4 linked regions of the Struthio camelus genome follow. The protein of the gene in region 4 purifies or fractionates together with the protein of the main gene of each other region. This does not show direct contact. Links are inferred from orthologs where the notes say so. Each region holds a gene or a part of one and is shown on either strand. Other genes may lie near its edges.

Evidence for each region.
Region 1: the proteins of BACC1 (region 4) and HMGXB4 purify together in Homo sapiens (affinity purification with mass spectrometry; 4 studies listed by BioGRID and IntAct, with this or other methods). This does not show direct contact. The link is inferred for Struthio camelus from reciprocal best matches to the Homo sapiens genes BACC1 and HMGXB4.
Region 2: the proteins of BACC1 (region 4) and SMARCA1 purify together in Homo sapiens (affinity purification with mass spectrometry; 4 studies listed by BioGRID and IntAct, with this or other methods). This does not show direct contact. The link is inferred for Struthio camelus from reciprocal best matches to the Homo sapiens genes BACC1 and SMARCA1.
Region 3: the proteins of BACC1 (region 4) and BPTF purify together in Homo sapiens (affinity purification with mass spectrometry; 5 studies listed by BioGRID and IntAct, with this or other methods). This does not show direct contact. The link is inferred for Struthio camelus from reciprocal best matches to the Homo sapiens genes BACC1 and BPTF.

What each region holds. Positions count from the first base shown.
Region 1 is NC_090942.1:59,909,599-59,917,538, reverse strand, and holds the start of HMGXB4 (HMG domain-containing protein 4), read left to right. Parts: upstream 1-4,928; 5' UTR 4,929-5,175; intron 5,176-5,577; exon of another isoform or gene 5,578-7,569; 5' UTR 7,570-7,644; coding exon 7,645-7,675; intron 7,676-7,940. UniProt on the Homo sapiens protein: Negatively regulates Wnt/beta-catenin signaling during development.
Region 2 is NC_090952.1:9,558,319-9,565,598, forward strand, and holds the start of SMARCA1 (probable global transcription activator SNF2L1), read left to right. Parts: upstream 1-4,271; 5' UTR 4,272-4,316; coding exon 4,317-4,421; intron 4,422-7,280.
Region 3 is NC_090960.1:4,481,909-4,489,465, forward strand, and holds the start of BPTF (nucleosome-remodeling factor subunit BPTF), read left to right. Parts: upstream 1-4,552; 5' UTR 4,553-4,786; coding exon 4,787-5,426; intron 5,427-7,557. UniProt on the Homo sapiens protein: Regulatory subunit of the ATP-dependent NURF-1 and NURF-5 ISWI chromatin remodeling complexes, which form ordered nucleosome arrays on chromatin and facilitate access to DNA during DNA-templated processes such as DNA replication, transcription, and repair.
Region 4 is NC_090978.1:338,595-346,117, reverse strand, and holds the start of BACC1 (chromatin complexes subunit BAP18), read right to left. Parts: upstream 3,008-7,523; 5' UTR 2,826-3,007; coding exon 2,805-2,825; intron 1,128-2,804; coding exon 1,033-1,127; intron 1-1,032. Other genes in the region: RNASEK (ribonuclease kappa), read right to left, coding at 3,501-3,639, 5,005-5,084, 7,410-7,487. UniProt on the Homo sapiens protein: Component of chromatin complexes such as the MLL1/MLL and NURF complexes.

The sequences.
Region 1 (7,940 bases), on a different chromosome or scaffold from region 4:
CTGTTTAGCCTTGGAGTTGCAGCAACGCCAGGTAGCTAATGTGCAGGTGGCAGTATGTTTCTGTTGATGTGCCAGTATGGTCTCCCTCATCTGCAGACTCTGGCATCTCCGTTTAAGCCATTTTTGTTTAAAAGTCCCCATGTTTAAATCTGCAAAATAGCATTGTCCTGCCTTGCACTGTAAATTCCCTGATACCAGGTGTGTATAGGGCAGACGCATAGCATTCACAGCCTGCAGCCTGTTTCTCCTTTCTGTCTTGTCAGTGCCTGATGAGAATGAGCTCTGCACACACTCCCTTCTCTATTTCTGATGCTCCCTGCTGCCAGCGAGCAGCTGCAGCAGCTCCTCTACAAGCAGAAATGGAATGCCCACCTGCCTCAGACCCCTAGCTTGGCAACACAGAGCATGAAGTCTGAGAAGTGTTTCAAGAAATGCATTGGCTGGTGAAGAACTCTCCCGCTCAGGGGCTTGAGAGGAAGAGAGAAGTTTACCCACAGGCAATCATAGATCCTAGAGCAATCCCTCTAACCAAAGCGTGGAGAGCCCACCAGAGAGCCACAGCTCCACAATGTGGACACTCATAGGCAGGCCTGGCAAGGCCACATCAACTTTGCAATAAGTATACACCCACCTATGCTGCCAGGCTGACATTTTAGCTTCCAGGTTAGCGGTTTAACTCTAGCTTTTTGTGTGGTTGCTCCATTTCTTGTAAAACTCCAGATTATAATATTATCTGGTACTCAGTGCAGGACAAATGCTGAAGCAGTGGTTCTGTCACAAGCAGGAGTTGGGGAAAATTGTAGGAAAGAAGCCCAGACCTATGGGCTTTTTCATGTAACTCTTTCTCAAAAGAGAGGAGCAGGTCAGTACGGCCTGTACAGAGGAAGGCGGTGATGTAGAGAATTAAGGTGTGAGAGGAGGAAAGAAGTAAATCACCATATCCAGGCAAAAAGAAAAACAAGAATCCAGATAAGGCTGAATGCCTCAAGTTTCATGGCACTGGGGCTGCAAGGAGTTCTAGTCAGCAGAGGCCAGTCAGAACCCCAGGGAGCAGGCACCGAGAGCTGACCAGCAAAAAGCACTAACATAGGCTTTGTATGGCACCATGAAACTCAGATTAAACCACTCCTACCTTCCTGGCATGTGCTGAGGTATGAAGCTATTTAGGAGGAAATCAACCTCAGTGAAAAGAGGTAAATCTGACACTGATTCTCTGCCTTTAATCTTTCCTTCATACATACCGCCCAGGTATCCCTCCCTTTCCTTTGGCTAACCAAACGCAGGAGCTTTCCTCTTCCCCTCTGGACTCCACTAATCCTGCTGTATTGTTTTCCCACCAGATGGACAAGGACACTGTCCTCCCACCCAGCTTTACCTCTCTCCGCATGCGGATACAGAAGGTGCAGCACTAGGAACAGGGAGAGAATGCGTGTGTCCACTGTGACAGAAGCTGTGGCTCTGGGGAACGTTCAAACTGTTACACTCATGTTACAAATGAATGCACCTACGCTTGCGGCTTCATTAGTGACTCTATTCCCAAATGAAAAGGCAAGAAAATGAATGCTTCCTGCAGGAACTGAAGACAAATGGGAAGCAACTTAAGAAAATCCCCAATACGGAAACAGATAACAAATCTTTTGAAGTTTTGCTTCTCTGCGGAAGTGAGTCCTTATATTCAAACAGGACTCAGTAGCCTTGTTTATAAATAAGACTAGTGAAATTATAGGGCCGAGGTAACTGACTGGGTGATTGGGTGACTGGGTGACTGGGTGACTGAGCACTGGAACGTTTTGCCCAGAGAGGTTGTGGAGTCTCCTTCCCTGGAGATATTCAAAAGCCATCTGGACACAATGCTGGGCAACGTGCTCTAGGTTGAGCAGGGGGGTTGGACTAGATGATCTCCAGAGGTCCCTTCTAACCTCGGTCATCCTGTGATTCTGTGAATTGGTACCCAATATCTACTCTACCTGAAGTCCGCTGTAACGTTAAAGTCACTTCCTCCATATTCATTCCCATAAGCCTTTTAAAAATGTGTTTTTTTCTTTTAGAACCTACCAAAATGTAATATGCTATGCTGTCTTTTAAGGGCAGCTTGGTAGCTGATAACTTACAAGTGTTGTAGTGTACACAGAGAAGAGTAGCACTGTCTGTGCAAAACAAAGAAGGCTTTTGGTGGAGAGGCAGGGATCAGAGGATTTAATGTAGGTCCCATTCCAGTTAATGCCAAATTCTCTGTGAATGTAGGAAAAAAGTATGGAAAAGTGAGTCAGAAATGAAGAGAGATTTCCGAGTTGCAAACTGTGGCAGGGAGAACTGGTAATTGTTCTCAGAGCTCTGAGTTCTGTATTTAATTTTGTACCTAACTTGGCTGTGGGCTTGTGCTCATGGTTATTATCAATTATTTTTATACTCATTTCACTTGAGAACTCACCAGGCTAAGTACTAAACAAGTGTGAAAAAAAAAAGAGAGTTACTGAACCTAGAAATTTGCATCTTAAGTAGTGTAGATAGGAGAAAATATGCAGACAAGGACAGATAGGGATGTATATAGGAATAGCAAGACCATATTGGTCACCTTAATGGGCAGTAGCCCTTAGCACGCAATTAATCTTGCATCAAAGATAAGTATGTCCACCTCACAAAATGTTCTGCACGGGCAACAGCCTTTCATATAATGGGTTTGTCTTTGCCAATGAGACAAAGGAACTGAAGGAACATACTGCATATTCTTTTAGCAGCCTCTCTCTCTGGCATGTAGGGCCAAGAATGCAAGATGTTCTGAACAAAAGGAATAGGCAATATTCTCACAATAGCGTGAGATTAACTGATGCTGCACTTCAGGTCTTTGACACTATGGGGACTGCTTGCTTTTCCTGTTCCCTCAGGATGACCTTTCCAGTTCAACAGTACACAGAAACAGTTCTGTCAGGTGTTAGACATTTGGAGAGGTTGTGACTCTCTTAAATTTGCTATGTGTCCTGACATTTTCTCCACCTGACCTCTACAGTCCAGGTGTATATTCTAAAGGGATGCCTGGATTTTCTAGAAAAGGAAAAGGCTAAGTTGTTTGAAAGTAGCCAGTAAATGCCAGTGCTTTGTACTGGATCTCTTTATTAGCTCTAGGGAATAGGAATGACTGAAATGAGTTTTTCTGAGCCCTTCTGCACTGGTGAAAAGTGCAGAATGAGGGATTACATTATATTATTAGTAGTATGATTAGTGTTATTAGTATTATTAGTATTCTGTGGGAGGAGAGGAACATGGATGCATCTCAGCAGGAGAGATCTGAATGCTTCGTGCTTCAGTGGCTTTATGTACAAGTATCCTGCTATATGCTCATTTTCACAAATTCACCTGCAAATTCACTCTCTCCCCTCCACATGCAATCACTGACACAATCTAATACCTCTGAAACATCCAGTGCTAAAACCATTAAACTGCAGGGGAGCTGAAATTCTTTCTAGGATGCAGAATATTAAGCATACCATCCCCACATATTTACTAGCTACCATTATCAAACATTTGCAATCTTCAGACATGAGGCTAATGTAGGCTTTTGATTTTCATATCGATCGTATCTCTGTTCCTTCAGGCTGCACCTAGCCTCCCCCAGCCATGCTAAAACTTTATTTCCTCCCAACTGTTTCTACCTGACCTGTAGGCTGTCATGCTCACTTGCTCAAGGAAATTATTCGATGTTTCCATACAGTCTGTAGCACCAGCAAGGAAGCTCAAGACTGTAAAATTCTGTTGACAGAAGCCATGTTTTTCTTGTACTCAGTGCATTGTAGAACAGAGTAGGGACCTATCACTGGAATTTCTAAAAACATCATCAGTAATCTGTGACAAATAGCAGGTCTTGGGCAATGTGCTCAATTCTGGAAAGGTTCTGGATATATATTTGTGGAGAGATGCTTGTCCCATTAGTGAAGACCGTAACTCCTTCCTGTGTTATGGGTTGGAAAGTAAGGACAGATTTTATAGAGAGCATAAACAGCAGCGGGAATGAGTATATACATGCATGAGAACACCTGCACAGGCCTCGCACACGTCCTCATGGTTGGTGGGTTTTACTCTGAGGTGTTACAGCTGCTGCACCTGCAGACATTGATCTGTGCACAGCGGCTGGGGAAATTTATTAGAAGCTGTAACCCCTCACTTGGAATCAAACTATAGATGCACACAGTGCAACACAGCGAGGCCATTCTGGTTCCTGTAACTGTTCCACAGTTAACTCAAATCATCATCATCGTTACACACTTGTTAGGACAAAAAAAAAACACGACCAAGACCAGGAGGCAGATCTGTCAGTGCAGGGAAACCAGTGTATCTGTGATGGGTCAAGTCTCTTTAACCTTGGCCATGGCTGGGAACTGTAGGCTGTGGACAGCACGCGACTGAGAGCAGCAGCTTACAAAGAGGCATGTGAGCTCCCGCCGGCATCTGTATAAAAAGAGGACTTCTCCATCAGTAGAGATAATGGGATTTAAGGTAAGAGTTAAGTGAGGTTTGTTGAATAGGGACCTCCTGAGCTAAGGAACAGAGTGAAGAAAAGCTCACATGGGGGGGGGGGAGGGGAGACTTGTTTTTTTTGTTTTTTTTTTTCCAGCCAGTCCGTTCTTGAGCTTTTTTTTTTAACCTCGGTCTGGAATCCCCTTGCAGTAACGGACGAGCCCTCCAGAAGGCGCGGGGGGCAGCACTCCGCAGACCCCCGAGACCGCTCGCCTACCGAGCGCTGCCCGCGGCAGGAGCCAACGCCGTCGGCGCAGGCAGAGACCGGACGCGCAGCGTGCGCCGCCCGGCGCGGGAATGCGCCCGCCCTCCGGCGCCTGCGCCATCGGTACGCTCGGCGCGCCCTTACCCCGCCTCCCTCTCCCTCTCCCCCTTCCCCTGCTTGCTCGGCGCTCGGCTGGCTGCGCCTTGCCGCCGGCGCCGGGCGGGGTGTGTCTTTTCTCCCACTCCAAGATGGCGGCCGACGGTTACGGCGGCGAGGCGGGAAGCGGCGGCGAGCGGTGAGGCGGCGGCGCCGCCTTTGCGCTCCGGAGCTGCGCCCGCCGCTTGGCGCCAGCGGGCTGGCAGCTCCCGTCTCCGCTCGGCGCCACCGCCGCGGGGGCACAGGCTTGGCCTGCTCCAGGAGCAGAGCTGCGAGCTGGAGTGAGGCCGGAGCCCGCTCGGGTGAGAGGGCACGCGGGCGGGGCGGGCGAGCGGGGGCGGGGGGGAGCAGCGGCCGAGGCCGGTTCAAACGGAGGCGGCGGGAAAGGCGCGAGCCGCGGCCGTTGCGGGAATTGGGGCGGGGGGGGAGGGGAGGGCGTTGGTGCGCATGCGCAGCCGGGCTCCGCGCGGGGGGCTGGCGGCGAGGGGCGGGCGCGCGCGCCCGGGTCTGTGGCCGCCCCGCAGGCAGGGGTCGGCGGGCCGGGCCCACCGGCCGCGCTGTGGCTGCGGCCGCCCAGGCGGCCTGCTTGGAGGGACAGCTGTGCCGCCCGTCGCCGCTCTGCGCCGGGGCGCTACCTGCCTGCGGGCGCCGCGCTCGTGGAAAGACGGGCGCCAACGTCTGCCCCCTTACACGCGCCCCGAAAGTCCTAGCGTGGTTTCCGCGCTAGCACGGCTGGCGCTGAGAGAGCACGGAACGTCTGCGGCAAGTTGGGAGCCCTGCTGCTGGCCTCTCTGCTTCCACGTACCGTCATCTGTCACCAGCGAGTTGTGCAGCCCCGCTTGGAGGGATGAAACATGAGAGTGCTATTGGGTTCGCACAAGAGCGATGTGTGTTCCTGATCCAGCAAGCGCTTGTGTTAAGGACCTGGAGACTTGGAGAGACCTGCCTCGCTGAGCCTGTGTGATGTCTTCTGTAACCTAAGAATCTAAAGCACTGGAACCTAATCAGATTGTGTAGAAGACAAGTTAAAAATGTGCTTTATATTTGCAGGGTTAGAGATCTAGGTTGTAAGCCCCTTTGGGCAGGGTTGTCATGTAGCAACCTTTATACCTGCCAGACAACTTAGTGAAGTTTTTAAAAGTCAGTAAAAGGTATGCCTGTAGCTCTAAACGAATCTTAGTTTCTTAGTGTCATCCCCTCATGAATGACCATCTTCTATTTTTGCTAACCAGCATCTAGATTAAGCCTTAGTCCTTTTGAGCACAGTGCTTTACTGTCGTGTGTAAGTTGCAAGATCTGGTCCAAGACTGTAAGCCCATCAAGTGGCAAGATTTTTTTTTTAATTTATTATTTTTTACTGTGGAGCACAGTGCTGTTGTGCGTATACATAAATTCTGCTTACAAATTGCTATGCTCACTAGCAACAATTTATCAAGCAACAATTTATGGTGGTCAGAATGCTGATATAAAAATACTGTGGTTGGTGATTTCCCAGAATATTAGACAACAGAAGAATTAACTTGTATCCTTATTAATTTCTCCTATGTGTCTGTAAGCTTGAATTATTTGGGGCTCTGTTCTTTCATGTAAAAAACCACAACATGTTAAATACATTGTATGTTTTTTAGCATCAGCCAGTTATTTATAAAACTTGTGTATGTGCAGGGATACCCAAAGCGTAGGTAAGATAAGTTCCCTGTACTCAAGGTATTCAGATGTAACTAATATGGTGAGATAACTGTATCAGCTAGTCCAAACTAGCTGTGTGGTCTCTGTGATTTAACACTTGCAGATGTATGTGTGCACATGCGCACACACACACGCACACACACACACACAAACACACACTTTTAAGTGCAAACTGAGTTATCAGAAGGCTATTCTTTGAAAGTTAAGCTGGTCACTGACTGAAGAACTCTGAGAGAACTAGAGTGCAACTATTCTATAATGGCAGTATCCTTCTAGATACTAGCAACTGCTGAGTAGAATACCTCAATTAGAAGAGACCTGGAACTTAATGAGCTGGCAGGGGCTAAGGGTGCAGCAAAAGTCCTAGAAAAAAGGAATACTTTCCTCTGCTCCCTCTCCCAAGCTGACATTCAGAATGGCTGCAGTGGTAGTGTCTGGAAATGCATCAGAAATGCACCAGAAAGATGTACATCTTCACTCCAAAATCTTCAAATATTTATTCAAATATTTATTTCAAAAGATCAGAAATAATTCTTTTATGATGCAATGATTCCTGCCTGAGTTCTTCCTTTCCTTCACTACTTCTGAGATTCAAGGGTTTGGAATTTCTCTTTAAACATCACACTGTTTCCTACACTGGCTCCTGACAAAAAAGATCTTGACACAAGTTCTGTTTCAATTTTTTGTCATTTAAAAGTCAAACAGCCTTTTTTCTCACACTCTTTATACTTTTGTAAATAAGTTCATTCAATGATGTGAATATTTTACAAGGAGGAGGTTGTGTTGTTACCTCTTTTAAAATAAGAGAAAAACAGCTTCCATTGTGTTTAGTTAATTTAAGAAAAATTTCTATCCAGCCTGAAATATGAGCACGCAGAGACCAGGAGGTAGATTCCCTTCCTTTCCCACTGTCTTCCAGAGAATCTTCATTTGGTTCATAGGAAGTTTCCCATATTCCATTATGATTCTTCTTTCTGGGAGGGTTATTTTCGTTCTCTGTTTCTCAGACCTTTTCCTGTAGACGGGAACGGGGGAAGGAGCCCAGACGTGGCAACACATTCTCAGGCTCCTGCAGGACCGCCATGGCTTATGATGACTCCAGGAAGAAAGAAGGTATGACTGCTTCGTAATCTCAGAGAGAGTTGCCAGAAAAGGGTACCCTTAGCCGCCCTTTCCAGGCCACGGAGTCAGAGAGTGGGAGAGAAAGCTAATCTCTTGTGGAACATTGAAGGGTATTACCTTAAATTTAATCTAGTCAGGTTTTTGCGAGATCCCAAGCCCTTGACTTCCAGAAGTAAAGTATTGGGATTAGAACTTGAGAGAAACAACTGATGTTTCCTGATGTGAAAACCTTGCCGAGGTACTCTGCCACTGCAGC
Region 2 (7,280 bases), on a different chromosome or scaffold from region 4:
TGGATAGGGGGTGTGGGTGGAGGCCCCAGGTAAGGCTGGTCAGGGCCTCCAAGGCCTATCAGTACCCTCAGAATCCTGGCAGATTAATTGTTAAGATTACAATGTATAAGATTACATCAGAGGAACACTTAGCTCTGTCATCACTCTTTCCAACTAAAGCAATTGTGAGACTGAACCAGCTAACAACTGAGATTTTGGGGGGAGGGGGAAGGGAAGGTATCTAATATAAGCAAAACTTAACTAAGCAAGAGCATAACACTGAAATTGAGGTAATGAATGGTTAGTGTGCTGTGGTTATTCACACTTGGGCTAGCCTATATAGATAAAGGTGGTAACCATGTGAGTTAACTCTGCAGTAAAGTCAGGAAACTGTTTTTAAAGAGCAGTTCCCGCATAGACTAGTTTTTCCCAAACTCCCCAGATAGTGCACTTATTTTTAATCCCAGATCCTACTTGTTTCCAGTCTATAAAGCTGTTTACTGCTTACAGCTCATGTGTTTTCACATGTATTTTGTGGTTTAAGTTCATAGCCAGCATATTTAAACTACAAATGACTAGGTGTGTATATATAGATTTTTGGACCATAGCATTTAATGGAGAGTCTCTTGAATGTGAAATCCTCTCCCCACCCCCTCAACATCTTTGTATTGCAGGGAACATACTGAATGTACAGAATGAAGTACTACAAATAATTAAACACAAGTAGGTATGAGACGCTTCATAAATATAATGTATATACAGTTTTTCCTATTCTCGATAAAATTATTTTTAAGAGTGAGCTGCTTTCATAGTAAATAATATATAGGCTGCCCAATTACCTTGAAGGCAGGATTTCTGAACCGAATATAGCATGATATTGCCATCTAGTGGCACTTGACAAAAATACTACCCTTTTCTTGTAAAATTCTCTTTTCACTCACAGGAGATTAAGTAAGAGAGGGCACAGATCACAACTGATATTAAGACATCTTTTATTAAGTAGTTATTAATAGATTCAAACTCTTATTACTAACAGATAGTTATTCACACAGTGCATTCACTTATTTCCTCACACGGTTCAATTACACGTACACACAATCACCACATATTTACGTGGTCTGAGCAAGAGTTAGGTGGCTGGCCCCAGATGTTTATTCAGAAGCAGAGGGTCACACTGACATGCCAGTGGCTTCTAGGTAGCTGCTGGGAAAGTCCTTTAAGGCATTCTTTCTTCCATCAGGTGTATTTATGATGCTGTAGGCTTGTGTAGTTGTAGTAGCCACAGCCACCACTTTCTTGGATGTGGTCTGAGTTATACGACCTGTTGATGCTTGTGTGTGCTGGTGGCCTTCTACAGATTTGGCAAACTGTTGGTGTACTGAGTGTATCACTTCTTGTGCATTCAACAGGTCTACTGTTCTCCGGAGTTTATCAGTTCTTGGGAGATTTTTTTCACACACAATCTCTCAGCACATACTTTACCTCTCTGATCAGCTTTGTGGTAACATTTCTCCATCCACACCCATAGGTACGTACCTATAGAATTCATTTACATGAACTCATACAGAACGGAATCTTATGACAATTTGGCCTATAATGCAATTTCACAGAATATCGAGACCTTTTAAAAAAAGTTACCCAAGCTTTAGTTTAGAGAAACTAAGTCCACCACAATTAACTACTTGTTTGGGAGAGGCTGAGTATCTACCGTCCAAGATCACAAAGGAAAGACTCTTTATAGTCTTATCTAGAGATAACTATGAAAATATCTTTGGATCCACACCTCACCAACTCTCTCCATATTCCAGCAGTTTTTGAAATGTAAAATGGTAACAGTTTAGGACACTATGAGCCTAAGTATATGCAATTTATTTTTCTGTGTCTAACAAGAAAATATAGTGCCTGTCACACAATATGTCAAGTGCCACCTTTGAGCTGGACAGAGAAGGCCTTGCTATGAAACTCAAGTGTTTAGGGGACTACTGGTAATTGTGCCTGGCAGATTGTAAATGAAGGGAGGAAAAAAAATGGGAAACCACAGAAGTAATAGCTAAGTCCACAACTTTAACATGACAGCTAGTGTCATCCCCCCCACCCCAACAAAAAACTTCAGAGAAATTCTGTGAAATTTACAAGTATTACAAAAGATGTAACTATAAAAAGGTGTAAAATATATGCAAAAAACATTATGCTTTTATATTTAATTAGATTTGTGGAATATGACTTGATAATACTAGTGTATATCTAAGTGATTTTTCATCTCATGGTCTGTGGACCTGCAGGAGCACACAACATAGTCGATGGGAGGTAACTAAGAACATCTAAGCAAAGTGCCAAATGCAAATGCTAAGCACACAAGTAACAAATCTTCAAAGGGCACCTTTCATGAAAGCTGCAGCTTGATTGTTTTGTACGGCATGTAACGTTCCCATGAATTTCAAGTAAAAATCAAGCTGTGACAAACACTTGAGAGTGCTTCGTATAGACAGAAGCTACAAGCAATTGAAACTGCTGTAGGAAAGTCAAGTATTAAAAACGGCTAGTGAGCTGTTTTCTGTAAAGATGCAAGAACAAATGCATCACAGAGCAGATTTTCCCCAACTCAGAGACTTTTGCAAAGGTAACGTTAAGCTTTATGATCTAGATGACCCTGCTTAGAAAAGGTATTTGGAGTACTCTTAGCAACAGTCGTGTCACTCCTCAGTTGTGCTAAGAAAAATGTACTTCCCAAAGGTTTTTAAAAATAAATTACCTGGAAGGTCTACTGAAGACCACTGTGGACCTTGCCTTGTTGCAAACTATGCAACAGACACTGAAGGCAGTAGTGTGCTTAATAATTTGTAATAGCACTGCTATTTTGCAGCTGTTTCACAAGAAGTTTCAGAGCTTCTTGTGGTCTATGCTAGACCATGATTTAGAAACTGAATTCCAGAACGATCAGGCAGTCATGGAAACATTTCAGAAATACAGGGTTAACTCTTCACAGAATGACATCTTTTATTGGACACTATGTATATATTGCAGAGAGGTCTTTGATGCACCTTTCTAAATGCAGTGTATGTGAACTGCATAACCCATTTGCTCAGTTTAGTTGCTGATTCATGCTGAAAGATCTTGATAACAGATACTGAACTTGTTACTGGAATGAAAAAACTTTTATTGCTTGTTCTGCCTACAGGGCTGGGGTTTGATCTATTTCTTTGGACAAGGTATTGCCTCTGCAAGTAATCATCAGGTAAAATGGATGATTTGGAGCTCTCTGTTTTTTAACTCCGCCATCTCAAGGATTGTTTTGGAATCCTTCAGGAGAATGAGCCAAGCTGGAGCTCTGCAGCTTAGAACCTGAACTCTTTGTACGGACAATCAGAAATACGCGCGCTGACAAAAAGCAAACTGAGTGGCTTCATAAGTGCAGCTTTCAACATGAAATATGTAATCACTGCTGAATTTAGAATGATTAAAAACAATGTTTCTAATGAATACCCCTTAAACTACTCTTGGCTTGGGAACACCTTTGGTATACCTTAGCTCTGCAGATGTTAAGGAATCATGTTCCCCCGAACAGAGCATGGGGCACCTAGGAAGACGTACTGGTGATATGCAGCACTGTTTAGAACCAAGGGATATGATTTGCAACTGCGACCGTTTCCTATCTCTTACCGTATTCTTCCACAGCCTGGCTCCTGCAGCGTTGCCTCTTTCCTCAGCTCCTACCGCTCCCCATGTCAGCACGGACGCTTCGCTCTCCCACAGCAGCCGGGACGACGGCCGTGCCAGGGCGCGGGGACATGCCTGGGCTGAGCTGCCACTGGCAGCAGGCTGCGTCCCGTCCCTCGGGGCCTGACAATTACAGATGCGGCAGCGCGGGGGCCTTAGCAGTGGCTGTAGTGGGCTACACACCGTCACGGCTACTGGCTCTGAGAGCACGGCGGTGCCTGGGAGAGCCGAAAGGCCTGCGGGCCGCGGCGGCCTCGCCGTGAGGCGGCGCTGCCGCAAGATGGCGGCGGCAGCCTCGCAGCGCCGCGGCACGAGGCACCAAGCGCCGCCCCGCCCGCCTCGCCTCGCCTCAGGCACGGCTCCAACCACCGCCCCCCACCCCACCCCGCGGCGTGTGCGCATGCGCGACGCCCCGTCCCCTGGCGGCGGCGGGAGAGGCGGGAGCGGCCGTGTCGTGGCACCGCCGCCGCGGCGTGGGGTCTCGCGATAGCTGCGGGCGCGGGAAGGCGGGCGGGGGGCGGAGGCCGGGCCGCGCGCTGTTTGGGGGCGGTGGGGTCGCTCCCCGCCCCCGCCCCGCCCCGCCACCGGCCCCGGCCCGGCCCGGCCCCGCCGCGCGCAGCATGGACGCCGGCCCCGGCAGCGCCGCCCGCTCGGATGGCGAAGTGCCGTCCACCTCCGCGGCGGCGGCGGCGGCGGCCTCTGCGCAGGAGCCGGCCGCCGAGGAGGTACCGCTCCGGGGAGGGGGCCCGGGCGGGCCGCAGAGCGCCCAGCGCCAGGGCCTGTGCCGCCCTCCCCGGCCGGCCGGCCGCCCTTGCCCTGCGCCCGGCGGGGGGCGGCGGGTCGGGGCTCTGCGGGGGCGGCGGGGAGGCCCCGGGCTCGGCCGCGGCGCGGGGCGGGCGGGCAGCGCGGCGGCGGCCTCGGCCCTGGCGCCTGGGGCTCTGCCGGCCGCGCGCAGCCCCGGTGCGGAGCGCAGCGCTCCCGAGAGGCTGCCCCGGCTGGCGGCCGCCGGCCTGCGGGGCTGGTCGGAGGAAAAGGTCCCACCGGGACGGCCGGGCTAAGGCCGCTAGCCGCAGCGGTGTTTTCAGGTATCCTTGGAAACCGAGCAAGATGTAAGCTGAGGAAGGAGCCCTGTGAGAACTCGTGCCCGGGTGCTGTGGCGTTGCAGAAGCTGGCAGAAATGATGATAGCGCCGTCAGAATTTTAACTCCAGCTGGGGAAAGTCTGTTTCTCCCTGGAAGTCCATTCTTCCCTGAGAAGAACGCCTGTTTCTTGCACTCTTGTGCGAGAAGGGCGGTTGGCTGTGAAATAGAGGGCAGTGTACTTGTGAACATCACCTGATGGTTCGGGAGAAAAAAGGATTATCTCTCTGTTGGATACAGCTTGTACTGTCAAATTGTATACATCTCAGCTGATACAAAATTGATAATAAATGTCTAATGAGTATCTGGCGAGATCCTTTGGGAGTAGTGAACAGGTTAGAATGTATCAACCATACTGTTCCCTACCTTTCTTAAGGAGGAGGAAAAAAAAAAGGAGGTTGCTGTTGTTTGAGGTTTTCATTCAGACTATGGAATTTCACTTCCATAACTCTACAGGTAGGAAGCTACATAATAATGGGATATAATGCAACCTGTTGCGCCCCTTTACCCCTTTCAAGGTTTTGCTTCGCTATACATAGTCTCTTGTTGCAGCAGCAGTCTAATAGAGTCCGAAGTTAATGATTGTTTGCAATGTGTTTCCACTTTGCATATGTGAGTTCAACACAAAAGGAGGTCCTTCTGATTAATGCATCTATTTAGAAAACTCAGCAGCACAGGGTACAGGAATAAAGTCGACCAAAGCAGCAGTTCTTATTCCCAGTCATTTATTTAGGCATTCATGTGGATAATCCAATTTAGGACAAACTATTGCACTGACTAGATAGAATTCTCTCTCACAGCCTGAGGTTAGTAGCTTTGTTTAGACTAGTTAATAGAGATTTTAAGGGAAAGTGTTTTGGGTCCCTGGAATGCCTCGGGCTCTGTTTTTGAAAGAATTGTGCAATGTTATTGATCATAAGATGTTTAAATGACACAATTTTTCAGTGGGCTATGTTATCTCAAGTTTAATCTTTAGTGGAAAATTTTTTTAGGGTAGAGGTGGGTAATAACCAGATGGTTCCTTGCACAAAATGAGTTAAAAGTGAAAGTACCCTTTTGCTGGTATATATATTTTTTTGCACTGAGGCTTCTGCTGATCAGATTTTCTGTTAAATCAGTCCTCTTACTATTGAAGATGCATTGTTTCTAGCGTATTGTTTCTGGGGTACGACTCCCATAAACTTATGAATTGTTTTGTGCTTCTGTGTTGTATTAGACATATGCTACAGTTAGTAGGAAAAGAGAAAAGCTTTCTTATTCATATCAAAACGTAATAATTGGCAAGCTCTAGTTTTTTATAAGGCAGGATATTACCCAGCAGCAAGTTCAGATGTGGTGGTCGTGCCTGCTACCCATCTAGCTCCACCAGCAATGTTTTGAGGAAAGAGTATGCTATGGTTTCACTATGTAAGTTGTCAGGAAGAGAAAGGATACTGGGATGCGTATGTCTTAAGTTGTTTGTGTGTTACTTCAGTTTTTGATAGTCTCCTCCTGTTCATTACTTCTGATATTGTGGGGCCATCAATGATCTGTAAATCAGATGAAGAAACACTGCAATGAGGAGTGAGGGTGAGCAGGGAACACCCTGCTTTTTCTTGAAGTGTTTTTCTTGAAGGTTACGGTGTAGAATGTGAATTTACCATGCTGTAGCTGTGGTAAATTTACATACCAGTTCACTTACTTGTTTAACTGGGAAAGCGTATTATTCACAAGTAATTATTTCTGAATAAGCTGGATGGGTATGGCCAGTGTGAAATTTCCTTCTGCTAGGGAAATCTGAGTAACAGGACAGACAGTCTGGTATTAGAGCCATCTGCCTTTGGACTTGTAATGCAATAGCTTTCCAAGGGGATTCTCATAATATTGAACCATTCTCCTCTGTCCAGGAGAAACTTCAGACTCATCTGAGGTAGACAGATGACTTAATTTTTTGAGACACATTCATTTACATTACATGTTCATTTAGGAGCATGTTAATTTATTTCCGGGGAGCTGAAAGAAACATCTGAAATGGGCTACTGTGAAGTATTTTGTCACTTTGGTAACAAGGAGATTGTTTCCAGTATTAGCATTGGTAGTCTTTCACACTGAAGTTTATGCTATGTTACATAGTAATCTAATGGAGGCATGGGTATACACATGTGTATGAACTGCTTTTTTGTATGTTGGCATAACAGCCCTCTTGTAACACTTCTTTCTGAATCAAGCTGTCAGAAGTTAAGTCATTTATCATAGAAAATTTCTGATGCTATCTACTTGCAACATAACCATTTGGCCTTGGAAGCTGAAGTCAGGCATTTATAAAATCATTAAATTGTCAAACAACTTTATTATACACTTAGTACTGTTCATCTTTGCAGAGATTTATGTCTTTGGGCCAAAACTTCGAAAGGTGTTCTCCAGCTTCAGATTATGTTCCTCTTATTTATGTCCTTCCACATAAAG
Region 3 (7,557 bases), on a different chromosome or scaffold from region 4:
GCTGCTTTGATTTCCTATTTTTAATTGTTCTCACTTTGTCCAAAGAAGCCTTTGGCATCTACAGCCTTAACTTATACAGGGAAAGGAACTTAAGCATGGGTATAGGGTTGGTACCTAACTTGCACTGCTTTCTCTCTCTTAGACATTATAGTACCACAATTAGTTTACTGTACCATTTTTGTGCCCCCTCCCCTTTTTTTTTCTAGTCCAACCTCCATTTTGTGCCCCCTCCCCTTTTTTTTTTTTTTCTAATCCAACCTTGTTACATTGTTCTGAAGCAGAGATGTTGGGGGTGCAGGAGGTTTGTGCGGCAGCTAGCAGTTACGAGCCCTATACCGTGATAATCTAAAGCTGTTTTGGTGAATCTCATTCTGATAAGACCACCTGCATCCAGAAGTTGTCTACAGCTATAGAGAAGGAAGAGATACAGGGCAGGAACTAGATTCCTTCCTCAAATGAAGAAGCAAAGTACAGTTATTTAATATGATAGCTTGTTACAATCCTTATTATTATCTCAGAGGTTGCCTCCTGCTGAAGAAGGAAAAGACTGTTTTCTTAAGCAGACAGACCTCCCTTCAGGAGCATGCTCTCCTGCACAGACTTGCAGAATGCAGTTACTGGATTACAGTATAACTAGCTGTATTTTAAGACTTTTGCTTTAGAAACTTTGGAAGCTTTCTGACGCTGAAAGATTGCATCCAAGATAGTTTTGTCTTTTTAAATATGCATTGTTTGAAATGTTACCAGTGTTCAATTTGAAGCTCATGGGGAAGAGGAGAGAGAGGTATTAAAATAACCTTAAGGTAAAATTTAATGCAGTGGACTTTAATGCAGTGGACTTTGGATTCAGTTTGACATGTCTTTAAGCTGACCATACTATTCATAAAAGCAGTTACCATTCTTGCTTCCTGAGCAGTGCTGGCAGAAATATCTTGCCCATTAGGTTAGAACGGAGAGTGGCCTAGCTGAAAATAACTTTTTATCTATGATTTTTTTTTTTTCTATGGGAGTGCTGACTTGTGCTGACATAATAGGACACTGAGGAGACATCCAGTTTCATTGGGAGCAAAATGCTGGAAAGCATTGTTTGAATAAATGCACTCTTAACCTTTGTAAGGTTTAGGTTGCCTGAGAATGAACAATAGCATTTTCTTGGCATTTTCATCCCCTCTCTAGCAAGAGCTAGAACATAACACTGTTATGGTTGAAGCACTAGGTGCATAACTTACTGGACTTCAGCCGTATGATTTTGAAACAGATGCACACAGTTAAAGGCCTTAAGAGTGGAAATTAACACTTTCCTGTTGTATACACCACTCTTATCAAAGGTCAGGACTGAAATATATATATATTTAAAAACAAAAAAAACCTAAACTGAACAGCTGAAGAATCATTTGGAGTGGTACTTCTTGGCACTGGCAGCAGTAGGTTAAACTTTCTGAGCAAGATGACTTACCTCCTAACTAAAATAAGAATATTCTTACCTACAAGGGTGTCCATTTTTTAAAAAATACGTTTTCAAAGGGTGAATGCCTTAATTTCTATAAAGTTAGGCTGACCTGCTTCATACTGCTTGTTTTATACAGCTTGAGGTTTATGCATGTGGAGAACGTAAACATTCCAAATTATATGTTTGTTTTAGATTAGTCAAAAGTGAAATCCAAATCTCAAAATTTTATGAATGCAACATTTGTTGACACTATTACAGGTGTAAGTATCTACTGAATAAAGGGGCTATCGGGGGATAGGAGCTCCCAGTGAAGACAGTTTGTCAGTCTACATCCAAAATAGCAGATCAGATGTTAACAACTTAAACTTATTTTTGTAAATAATGTGATTGAATGTTAATATAATTCAGCATATCAGTGTATTGATACAGTTTATGTATTTTGTAATATTAAATAAAATTACAATCAGTATGTAGATTACATCAGCAAAAATCACATAAGCCCTTGCTTTCTAAGGCTGAGTTTTAGTCTATAGCTGAGCTCTATTCTAACAATACTTAGCAACCTCTCAGTGTCTTACCAATATACATGTTACGGACTCTAGAGCAGGGTACTTAAGTTCAGTGCCTAGTATGTGTTAGTTGTGACACATTTGGAGGGAAGGACTGGACAAAAGCAGCTCAGTAATGTAAGCAAGAGCATATGCTTGCTGGATTATTTATGCCATCCAACTGTAGGTTCGTAAGTTCTTTCCTTTACTAGTGGAGAAAGGAACCTATCCAGACAACAGCTTGGAACAACTAGGCTATTCATCTTTTCCAAAGTGCCTTTTGAAAGGAGTCTTTCTCTCCATCCATCTTGAGTATGGAGGGAGCCTAGGACCACCTACCTAAAATTTTTCCTCCTGCTGTATTCACTTAGAAATGTGCTCATTTAACTATACTAGCAAATTTAATATGTGAACTTCAAGTTCCTAATGGAGATGCGTTTTGTCTTTGGGAAAGGACGAGGATAGGTGAGTAGGTTGGGGGGTTGTATGATTTGTGTGTGTTGTTTTGTTGTGGGTTTTTTTTCCCCTCCTCCTCCGTGCTAAGCTATGCTCTAGAAAGGAGTAATTTTTCAGTCCTGAGTGAAAATTAACATATCTGTCAATGCATCCCCATTCCCCATCTATAAAATTATAATTCTGATGTTCTATTCAGTAAAGCACTTCCAGATTAATGACTAACAAGTCTTAAAAGGTGGGATTAGGAAACAATGTATTTTGGCCTTACGCTATTTAAAAGCAAACAAAGGATTCTTAGCACCTTTGATCTGCTACAGGTACACAAAACCTACCGTATGTCACAGATCTTAACGTTCTCCTAAGGCTACAGGCTGTGTGAATGTTTTCTGTAGTAGCTACACTAGATTTTTTTTGCTAGATTCTCAATACATAGATGGCACAATTCACACTTTTTTCCCCCCAAGATCATAGAGGGAGATAAACACACAGATGCATGCTTTAGGACTAGTTGTGTAAGTATGTATTTTAATAGTTACCACAATACTGTGGAACTTTGAGAGGTTAAAAAAATCAACTTGATGGAAGCAAACTAAAGGTAACTTTGAAAGATTCAGAATACAAATTGAGTATAATGGTGTAAGTTAAATTAAGCAATGTTGTCTACCGCTGTTACTGTGTCTGGATGGTACTGTGTCTAGAACATGGCTCTGAGCCTATGCAGCTGCACTATTGAATATAAAAGAGTGTGACCAAATGGAAAAGAGATGCAGATAAAAAGCTGGATGTAAGAGTGCAAATCAGGTTAAACCCTGCTGCCTGGTGCCATTGTGGCATTGTTGCGTGCTTGACACTGCATGCAGCAGGTTTGTGGGTTTAATGAGGTTCTTGGGCTGAGCAACAACTTTATGAACACAAGGCACTTCAGAAACATCTATGGAAGAATTCAAATTAAATTAAATATCGAACGTACAACTGGCATGCTCAGGGCGTGACCAGTGCTAGGTTGTGCATCGCGAAGGCATTTATTTGCTTAAACAGAAGACTAGATTCTCTGGGCTCCTTTGCCAATGCAGAGGGAGAAGGGCTGGTTGTGGGAAATGCAAGTGGTTTTCATGCCTTGGGCTGGGTTTCATCTTGTACCTCTTTTGCTTGGGAAAGCAATACCCTGAATTCAACGGCAGTATTAGAAACCCAGTTCTGCAATTGGTTTCTGTAGGGTGGCTTTTTTTCTTCTTCTTTTTTGGTTGCCCTTTGGGGGCTCTGGACTGGAAACACATGAGGGAATACAAAGCAGGTGCAGCCTATCTCGGTCTTGCAGTGCTGCAGCAGTGCTGGGGCAAGTGGCCGGACACCAACGCGAGGGGCCGTGTGTCCTGCGTGGTTTTCCTCAGCGTTTCGGCTTTTTGCCGCCCGTGGCCAGGCGAGGGTGAGTTGTAAAGAGGGTGTTGTTCGCTTCTGCCTAACGGGGGAGGTGGGGGGGGGGAGATCTGGCGGCTCTGCAGGATTAACAAAAAGGCAGAGCCGCAGCCAGGGGCCTCGGCCGGTGCCGGAGCGGCGGGACGAGCCCTGTTGCCTACCTGCCTTCGCAGCTGTCCCGCGAGGGAGTTGCGGCCAGCTGAGCTCGGGGCAGGGGGGAGGCCCCCCCCCAACCCGGCGGGTCGAGCTCGGCGGCGGGGCTCCTGTGACGGGCGTCGTTATTTAAGCGGGAAGATGGTCAGTTTTGGGGCGGGGGGAGGTGGTGAACCGCCGCCGGCGGGGCGCCCCCGTGCGCTGAGGGGAGCCCCGCGGCGGGGCCGAAGGCAGAGCCTGGGGACAGGTGGAAGGCGGGGGGGTTTAGGGAGCTTTATCCCGGGGGTGGGGGAAGGAGGCGGCGGGGCGATGAGGGGGGCTCGGCGCGGGCTGCGCAGCGGCGGGAGCCCCGAGCGCGCGCGCGCGCGCGGCCGGGGTGGGTGGCGGGGGAGCGCGGAGCCGCCTCAGCGCGCTGGCTCCAACATGGCTCTCGCGGCGGCGCGGCGGCGGCGCCCCCTGGCGGCGGCGGCTGGGCGCGGCCGGTCACGTGAGGCGCTCGGGGCCTGCTGCCGCCGCCGCTTCCCCCAGTCAGAGCGGAGCGAGCCGAGGCAGAGACGAAGAAACAAGATGGCGGCCGGTGGCGATCCGGAGCGGGACGCCGGCAATTCGGATTGAACCCTCGGCCCTCACAGCTCGGCGGCCCCCCTCCCCGGTCCGGATCCCTCGCAAGGGGGGGAGCTTCCCCGTAGCCGCCTGTCCGGACTCCGAGCGCCCTCCCGAGCCTTCCTTCCCCCTCCCTTCCCCCCTCGGCCAGCGCCCAGAGATGCGGGGCCGGCGAGGCAGGCCGCCCAAGCAGCAGCAGCCGGCGGCGGGCAGCACTCAGGCGAGCTCCCCGGCTCCGCCCGCCCCGGCGGGCCCCATTGGGGGGCTGCGGTCCCGGCAGCGGGGCAGCAGCCGCGGCAGGTGGGCGACCTCGGCCCAGGCGGAGACGGCGGGGCCCAAGCAGAAGGGGGCCGGGGCTGCCCAGGCCTCTTCCTCGGCCGCCACCTCCCCCAGGGGGGGCAGCAAGAGGAAGGGAGGCAGCGGCGGCAGCAGCACCCCTGGTGGGGGAGGCAGCAGCGGTAAGGGCAGGGGCAGGGCCGGGGCTGGAGGAGCAGGGGGAGGAGGCGGAGGAGGCAGCTGCAACAGCCAAGGCAGGGCTGCCTCGTCCAGGAGGAGCATCAGCAAAGTGGTGTACGACGATCATGAGAGCGAAGAGGAGGAGGAGAGCATGGTGTCCGAGGAGGAAGAGGAGGGAGACCCCGAGGATAACCAGGACTCCGAGGAGGAAGAGGAGGAGGAGATCATGGAGGAGGAGGACGACGACGACTCTGACTACCCTGAAGAGATGGAGGATGAAGACGATGCCAGTTATTGCACTGAGAGCAGCTTCAGGAGCCACAGCACCTACAGCAGCACCCCAGGTAGAGAGTCAGTGGGATGAGCGAAAAACGAGGCGAGGGCACCCCACATGCTCCCTCTAGGTTTGCAAATACGTACACGCATGGGAGGAAGAATGCATGCAGATCGTAAGGGATGCCTGCAAGCACTCACAGGGAGAGAGGGGTATGCAAATTAACGCCTGGCAACCCCATGGATGCAGGGAACCTTAGAAGGTGCTTGCAAACACACATGCAGTCAGGGGAGGGAGGAGGAGGGGTAATACATGCTGCAACGAGGGGATGCTTGGCGAATATGCATAGAGGTTCTGGTCGCCGCAGAAATGCGTGCTACACCAGAACGTGTTGCAAACAACGTCAAAAGTGTATAGAGCGTTCACTTAGGATTTAAAAACAAGGGAAAGGAGGTGCATGCGTTGCTAAGAAGTGGTTGCAAATATATACAGGAGAGGGTGGCTTGTGCCTGGGAATGTAACTTAATGTTATAAGGAAAAGAAGCACATGCAACTTGAAGTAGTCTAAAAAACCCATAAACACTGAAAATTTGCAGGCTCTTGAAATCAGAGGTACAACTGGAAGCAGCATTTATTGGCTTTAAGACAAAACTAGCTTTTCAAGGAGGGAAATGAGGTGCATTGTTCAAAATGGAGATTGCATTGTTATAGTTTGGGGAAAAGTGCACAGGGCCTCATTGCAAGGGTGTAAACCTAGTTTTAGTTAATAAGGCTTTCTTAAACACAAAGATTAAAGGGTGGAGGTTGAGTCAAAAGTCTTGGTTCTAAACACCGCATTTATTTTAAGATGTGGCAAGCTTTAAAACTCATATTGGGGTTTAAAGGTCTTTAACATCGTGATTAAATTTTTTTTTTAATTTTTTATTTTTTAACCTAATGGCAAATTTGGGCTAAATTTTTTTTTCAGGGCCTGCATTCTTTTTTGTCTTTAATTAGTTCATTAGGTATGTGGGTTTGAAGCCTCAACAATTCTTTATCTGAACTTAAGCACTTTAGGTTTATTTGAATTAATTCCAGAATGAATGGAGTTCAGGCATAGAATTTTTTAATTGTTTTCTTTTTATTTTCTTTTCTCTCTCTCTCTCTCTCTCTTTTTTTTTTTTTTTGGTCTCTGAGCCAGGACATTGGTTAAACTTGGGGATAACCTGGGAATGTGTTGCTGAATTGGGCTCCAGGATAACAAACACTGTTGCTGTACAAGTATTTGACCAGCTTGGAAGGGGGGAGGAACAGGTTGTGCAAATGCATTGCATCTTTTTTTTTTTTTTAAGGTGTGTAGTTTTGAGTAGCTAGCAGATCACTTTTAAAAAGGGGGAAGTACTGGCTACTAAATGTGTCATTTGTTGTTGTTTTAGTGAGTTTACTGGTATCAGTCCATTATTTGATACTCTAGTAGTCCTTTGAAAAACTGGGTGTGTGTAACTATACATATACATATGCAAATATTTAAATTTATATCCATATCCTTAGGAACCTAAGGGAATTGAAAGTAAGTATGTATGTCACTAAATGAATTAATTTTATTTGTTTGTTTCTGGAATAAGTGTTAGTGCTAGTTTACCTGTTGCAGGGATGTACTACAATGAAATTGAATTCCTTTGGATATTTATTACTTTACAGATGGAGGTCTAGCTTCACAGGAAAAATTCTGACCTTCTCTCTTAACTCTTAATTTTCTGTTTAGTTGTGGTAACTTTCATTCTGACTACCTCTTTTTGGTGCTTTTGTCAGGGAAAAAATATTTTTATCGCTTTAAGAGGCTAGGTCAGGAAAATATTTTGACGTGAAAATCCAGGCTGAAAAAGAGTTCTACAAAATACAGGTGTATTTGATTTTTGAAATGTGCTGGCAAATAATAATAAAGTATCTCTGTGTGCATTGTTGTGCAAGCGTAGACAAGTCTTAATTGGTATTTGAGTAGCAGAAATCATTTTGATAATTTATATGCTTATTTTCCACTTGATCAAGGTAACTTCAGTTTTAGCTTTTTAAAGTAAGTTTAAATGTAAGCATTTTAATCATAATATTCCATAGAGTGTATGGTATTCTGGCACTGAGTAACTGATTAATAGTTAAAGCACCTATGTTGTTTTGGCAATATACTGGAACTTCTGATTAGTTCAGTCTTGGCTCGAAGCCCT
Region 4 (7,523 bases):
CTCCTCAGGTGGCCTCTTGCCCCTAGACCTGCTCCACGGCATCTTCTGGGGTCCTCTCCTGCCCCACGGCATCTTCTGGGGTCCCCTCCTGCCCCACGGCATCCCCCTGGGGTCCTCTCCTGCCCCAGGGCATCCCCCTGGGTCCCCTCCTGCCCCACGGCGTCCCCCCGGGTCCCTTCCTGTCCCTATCTTTGCCCCACGGTGCTCCTCAGGTGGCCTCTTGCCCCTAGACCTGCTCCACAGCATCCTCTGGGCTTCCCTCCTGCCCCACGGCGTCCTCCCTGGGGTCCCCTCCTGCCCCACAGTGTTCCCCTGGGGTCCCCTTTTGCCCCACGGTGTCCCCCCAGGGCCCCTCCTGCCCCTAATCCTGCTACAGGGACCCTGGTGACCCCATGGGGACCTCCACAACCATATGGGGACCTGCATGGTCCCATGGGGACCCTGGTGACCCCCTAGGGAACCCCATGGAGATGCCAGAGGCCCCCTTGGAGACCTCCATGACCCCATAGGGGCCCCAAGGGGGACACTATAGACCCCACAGGGACCCTCACAACCCCAGGGAGACTCCCACAACCCCATAAGGACACCTGTGACCCCATAGGGACACCCATGACCCCTAGGGGGACCTCCACGCCCCCACAGTGACTCCCATGACTCCATGGGGACCCTGCAGGCCCCATAGAGACACTGGCGGCCCCATTGGGGACACCATCGAGGCCCCCATGAACCCCCCAGAGATATCACAGCCCCCACGGGGACATCACAGACCCCATGAGGACCCTCATGACCCCATAGGAACACCTGTGACCTCAGAGTGACCACCCATGACTCCATGAGGACCCTGCAGGCCCCATAGGACCCTGGTAACCCCATTGGGGACACCACTGAGGCCACCATGAACCCCCCAGAGATATCACAGGCCCCATGGGGACATCACAGACCCCATGAGGACCCTCACGACCCCTTAGGGACCCCCACCGGCCCCATAGTGACCCCTCTCCGGCCCCCAAGGGCCCCCCCAGGCGCACTCACCCGGCCGGGGAGGAGTCGGACACGGGGTGCAGCTGCATCGTCAGCTCGCCCAGCTTGGTGAAGGCGGCGCCGGCGGCCGAGAAGATCTCGCCGACCTGTAGGGAGCCGGCGGGTAGCGGGACCAGAACCGGCACCAGAACCGGCACCAGGATCACCCCGCGTGACCAGACCCAGGAGCAGAACCACGCCAATCTAACCCAAAGCGCCCCACGGACCAGAAGCAGGACCAGAACTGGATGAGAACCAACCCAATAAGACCCATATGGCCCTATGGGCCAGAACTGGGAGCAGAACCACCCCAATAACACCCATAACACCCAACTGGGAACAGAACTGGGAGCAGAACCACCCCAGCAACACCCATATCACCCAACTAGGACCAGAACCAGGAGCAGAACCACCCCAGTAACACCCATGTCACCCACCTGGGACCAGAACTGCCCCAGTAACACCCATATCACCCAACTAGGACCAGAACCGCCCCAGTAACACCCATATCACCCAACTGGGAACAGAACTGGGACCAGAACTACCCCAATAACACCCATGTCACCCACCTGGGACCAGAACCACCCCAGCAACACCCATATCACCCAACTAGGACCAGAACCGCCCCAGTAACACCCATATCACCCAACTAGGACCAGAACCGCCCCAGTAACACCCATATCACCCAACTGGGAACAGAACTGGGACCAGAACTACCCCAATAACACCCATGTCACCCACCTGGGACCAGAACCACCCCAGCAACACCCATATCACCCAACTGGGAACAGAACTGGGACCAGAACTGCCCCAGTAACACCCATATCACCCAACTGGGACCAGAACCGCCTCAGTAACACCCATATCACCCAACTAGGACCAGAACCGCCCCAGTAACACCCATATCACCCAACTAGGACCAGAACTGGGACCAGAACTACCCCAATAACACCCATGTCACCCAACTGGGACCAGAATGACCCCATTCACACCCATATCACCCAACTAGGACCAGAACCAGGAGCAGAACCACCCCAGTAACACCCATATTACCCAACTGGGACCAGAACTGGGAGCAGAACCACCCCAGTAACACTCATATCACCCAATTGGGACCAGAACCAGGAGCAGAACCACCCCAGTAACACCCATATCACCCAACTGGGACCAGAACTGCCCCAGCAACGCCCATGTCACCCAACTGGGACCAGAACTGGGACCAGAACCACCCCAGCAACACCCATGTCACCCAACTGGGACCAGAACTGGGACCACAACCGCTCCAGTAACGACCATGTCACCCAACTGGGACCAGAACTGGGACCAGAACTGGGACCAGAACTGCCCCAGTAACGCCCATGTCACCCAACTGGGACCAGAACTGGGACCAGAACCACCCCAGCAACACCCATGTCACCCAACTGGGACCAGAACTGGGACCACAACCGCCCCAGTAACGACCATGTCACCCAACTGGGACCAGAACTGGGACCAGAACTGGGACCAGAACTGCCCCAGCAACGCCCATGTCACCCAACTGGGACCAGAACTGGGACCAGAACCACCCCAGTAACACCCATGTCACCCAACTGGGACCAGAACCGCCCCAGTAAGACCTAAATCGTCCCATGGGACTAGAAGTGCCCCAGTAAGACCCAGTCGGCCCCGCCGGGACCGGAACCGGCACCACAACCGCCCCAGTAAGACCCAGTCGGCCCCGCCGGGACCAGGACACCCCCCCCCCCCCCCCAAAAAACCGGGACCGGAACCGGGATCTCCCCCACCTTGGTGGACGCTGACGTCATGGCTCCCGCCCCCGGCCCCTCCAGCCGCCGCCGCCGCCGCTCTGGCCCCGGCTCCTCTATGGTGGCGGCGCGGCCCGTACGGGCCGGCTCGCCGGTGTTACCGGCGGCGACGCTCTGTCCCCACCCCCCCCCCCCGCCGCCGCCTCTATGGTGCGGCCCGCGCGGGCCGCACCGCTCTATGGTTTAAAAACCCCCTCCCCCTAGCCCCGCCCCCTCCACTCTATGGTTGGAGGCGAGGCCACTTCCTCTTCCGCGACTAGCGACCGCTCTGGGCTGCGCTCGATGGTCTTCACTCCTCCCGCGGCGGGGGGGGGGGTTTTACACCACCAGCTTCCCTCCCCCAAACCCCCCCCCCCAAAAAAAAGAAACCCCAAAAAAACCCCATCCCGAGGCCTTTACACGCTTTATTAGAGAGATTGGTCCATAAAGAGGGAGGAGGGCGGCTCCAGGGGGGAGACCCCCCCCCCAAAGCCTTTGCCCCCTCCCCAAAATCCAAAGGAAACCATTGCGATGGGGGGGGGGGGAGGTTTGGGGAAGACGGGGGGGTTTGGGGTGAAAAAGGGGGGTCTGAGGGGGTGCGGCAAGTCCCAGGGGGTCCGACGCAGCCCCCCCCCCCGGGGGGGGGTAAATAAATAAGGGGTGGGGGCAGCCGGACCCCCCCCCGCTTTCCGCGGTCTAGCGGACCATGTACTCCTTGCGCTTGTTGAGCCGGACCTGGCAGAAGGAGAAGCCGCCGAGCAGCACGTAGAGGCCGGCCGCGATGAAACAGTTGTAGCTGACCTGTTCGTACAGGCGGTAAATCTTCTCCGGTCCGCTGCGGGGAAGGGGGTGACGCGGGGAAGGGGGTGGGACAGCCGTCAGGGACGGCCCCGCCGTGAGCCGGGCAAGACCCCCGTCGTCCTTCCTTTCACCCTCTCCCACCCCCCGGGAAAAAAAAAAAAACAAGGCTCGACCCCGTCCTCGCCGCCTGTTCCCCAAAAATACAGGGCTCGACCCCGTCCTCGCCGCCTGTTCCGCGAAGCAATAGGGCTCGACCCCGTCCCTGCTGCCTGTTCCCCAAAAAACAGGGCTCGACCCCGTCCCTGCCGCCTGTTCTGCGAAACAATAGGGCTCGACCCCGTCCCTGCCGCCTGTTCCCCAAAAAACAGGGTTCGACCCCATCCCTGCTGCCTGTTCCGCGAAGCAATAGGGCTCGACCCCGTCCCTGCCGCCTGTTCTCCAAAAAACAGGGTTCGACCCCGTCCCTGCCGCCTGTTCCCCAAAAAACAGGGTTCGACCCCGTCCCTGCTGCCTGTTCTGCGAAGCAATAGGGCTCGACCCCGTCCCTGCTGCCTGTTCTCCAAAAAACAGGGCTCGACCCCGTCCCTGCTGCCTGTTCCGCGAAACAATAGGGCTCGACCCCGTCCCTGCCGCCTGTTCCCCAAAAATACAGGGTTCGACCCTGTCCCTGCTGCCTGTTCTGTGAAACAATAGGGCTCGACCCCGTCCTCGCCGCCTGTTCCCCAAAAATACAGGGCTCGACCCCGTCCTCGCCGCCTGTTCCGCGAAGCAATAGGGCTCGACCCCGTCCCTGCTGCCTGTTCTCCAAAAAACAGGGCTCGACCCCGTCCCTGCTGCCTGTTCCGCGAAACAATAGGGCTCGACCCCGTCCCTGCCGCCTGTTCCCCAAAAAACAGGGTTCGACCCCGTCCCTGCCGCCTGTTCCCCAAAAAACAGGGTTCGACCCCGTCCCTGCTGCCTGTTCTGCGAAGCAATAGGGCTCGACCCCGTCCCTGCCGCCTGTTCTCCAAAAAACAGGGCTCGACCCCGTCCCTGCTGCCTGTTCCGCGAAACAATAGGGCTCGACCCCGTCCCTGCCGCCTGTTCCCCAAAAATACAGGGCTCGACCCCGTCCTCGCCGCCTGTTCCGCGAAGCAATAGGGCTCGACCCCGTCCCTGCCGCCTGTCCCCGAAACAACAGGGCTCAGACGTGAGTCGTGCTGTTTCCCCCCTCCATCACCCCCACCCCAAACTGAGCCCCATCCTGCCTTCCCCCCTCCCAACCAAAGCGCCCACCCCCAGCCCCATTTCCTCCCCCCGCCTTCCCCCAAAAATAATAAGCAGCGGGCTGTAGCCCCCGTTTTCCCCCATCCCCTCCCCAAAAAGCCGTGCCCCCCCCCCCAACCCCCGGGGCACTCACTCCTTGAAGTCCTCCTCGGTGAAGGGGACGTCCTCTATGAGCACAGCCGAGTGGACGTTGAAGAAGATGCCCAGGAGGACCTGGGGGGGGGGTGTTTTTTTTTGGGGGGGGGGGGAAGAAACGTACAGCGCCGTGCGTAACCCCGGGAAACGTCCGGCGGCGCGCGGGGTTCTCCTCGTCAGCCGCTCAGCGCCTGTTTACACGCAACAGGCTGCCGGAGCTGACCGGCGTCAACCGGAGCCACCCCGGGGTGACGGGGACGGACGGGTGACGCAGAGGCGCCTGAGGGGAAGCGGGTGCTGCAGGGGGAAGTGGGGGGGGGGGGGGCTTCTGCCCCATAGCAGGTTGTGGGGGGGGAACGACGACGGAGAGCGCCTGTTTTCTCTCGTTTCGGGGCGCTGTAGCCTCCCCCCATTCCGCTGCTGCTGCCCCATAGATGCTGCCTCAGCCCCATAGGGCACCTGAACTGTGTAGCCTGCCCCCCCACCACCACCCAGCCCCATAGATTCCCCCCCCAGCCGTATGCAGGGCCCCATGGATCCCCCCTAGCCCCATGGATCCCCCCCCAGCCGTATGCAGGGCCCCATGGATCCCCCCTCCAGCCCCATGGATCCCCCCCAGCTGTATGCAGGGCCCCATGGATCCCCCCTCCAGCCCCATGGATCCCCCCCAGCCGTATGCAGGGCCCCATGGATCCCCCCTCCAGCCCCATGGATCCCCCCCAGCCGTATGCAGGGCCCCATGGATCCCCCCTCCAGCCCCATGGATCCCCCCCAGCCGTATGCAGGGCCCCATGGATCCCCCCTCCAGCCCCATGGATCCCCCCCAGCCGTATGCAGGGCCCCATGGATCCCCCCTCCAGCCCCATGGATCCCCCCCAGCCGTATGCAGGGCCCCATGGATCCCCCCTCCAGCCCCATGGATCCCCCCCCAGCTGTATGCAGGGCCCCATGGATCCCCCCTCCAGCCCCATGGATCCCCCCCCAGCCGTATGCAGGGCCCCATGGATCCCCCCTCCAGCCCCATGGATCCCCCCCAGCCGTATGCAGGGCCTCATGGATCCCCCCTCCAGCCCCATGGATCCCCCCCAGCTGTATGCAGGGCCCCATGGATCCCCCCTCCAGCCCCATGGATCCCCCCCAGCCGTATGCAGGACCCCATGGATCCCCCCTAGCCCCATGGATCCCCCCCCAGCCGTATGCAGGACCCCATGGATCCCCTCCCAGCCCCATGGATCCCCCCCCCAGCTGTATGCAGGGCCCCATAGATACCCCCCCAGCCCCATGGACCACCCCATGGATCCCCCCCTCCAGCCTCACAGATCCTCCTCCAGTCCCATGCACTGCCCCATAGTTCCCCCCCAGCCCCACAGATCCCCCATACAGCCCCATACACTGCCCCATGGATCCCCCACAGTCCCATGCACTGCCCCGCACAGCCCCATGCACCACCCCATGGATCCCCCCCCAGCCCCATGGATCCCCCCCAGCCCCACGGATCCCCCTCCAGTCCCATGCACTGCCCCCCAACCCCCCCAACCCTATAGATCCCTCTACAGCCCCATGGATCCCCTCCCAGCCATATGCAGTGTCCCCCCCAGCCCCACAGATCCCTCTACAGCCCCAGGCACTGCCCCATGGCCCCCCACAGCCCCATAGATCCCCCCTACAGCCCCAGGCACTGCTCCATGGCCCCCCCCAGCCCCACAGATCCCTCTACAGCCCCATGCACTGCCCCATGGCCCCCCACAGCCCCACAGATCCCTCTACAGCCCCAGGCACTGCCCCATGGCCCCCCACAGCCCCACAGATCCCCCCTACAGTCCCATGCACTGCCCCATGGCCCCCCACAGCCCCATAGATCCCCCCTACAGCCCCATGCACTGCCCCATGGCCCCCCACAGCCCCATAGATCCCCCCTACAGCCCCATGCACTGCCCCATGGCCCCCCACAGCCCCACAGATCCCCCCTACAGCCCCATGGCCCCCCACAGACCCCCTCTACAGCCACATGCACTGCCCCATGGCCCCCCCATAGCCCCATGGATCCCCCCTACAGCCCCATGGGCCCTCACAGCCCCACAGATCCCCCCCTACAGCCCCATGCACTGCCCCACAGATTCCCCCCAGCCCCATGGATCCCTCTACAGCCCCAGGCACTGCCCCATGGCCCCCCACAGCCCCACAGATCCCCCCTACAGCCCCATGCACTGCCCCATAGCCCCCCCCAACCCCTGAAAGCCCTCCAGCCCCACACAACGCCCCACAGACCCCCCTCAGCCCCACAGACAACCCCCCCGGCCCCTTAAAATCCCCTCCAAGGCCCCACAACACCCCCCCCTCAAGCCCCATAGACCTCGCTACCTCCTGCCCCCCCACCCCCCAAGCCCCACGGCGCCCCCTCACCAGCATGATGACGCCCCAGGCGCTGAGGACGATGCCGCAGGCGGCCAACTTGGGCCCGCAGCAGAGCAAGGAGACCATGGCGGCGGCGGGAGGAGGAGGAAGAGGAGGGGAACC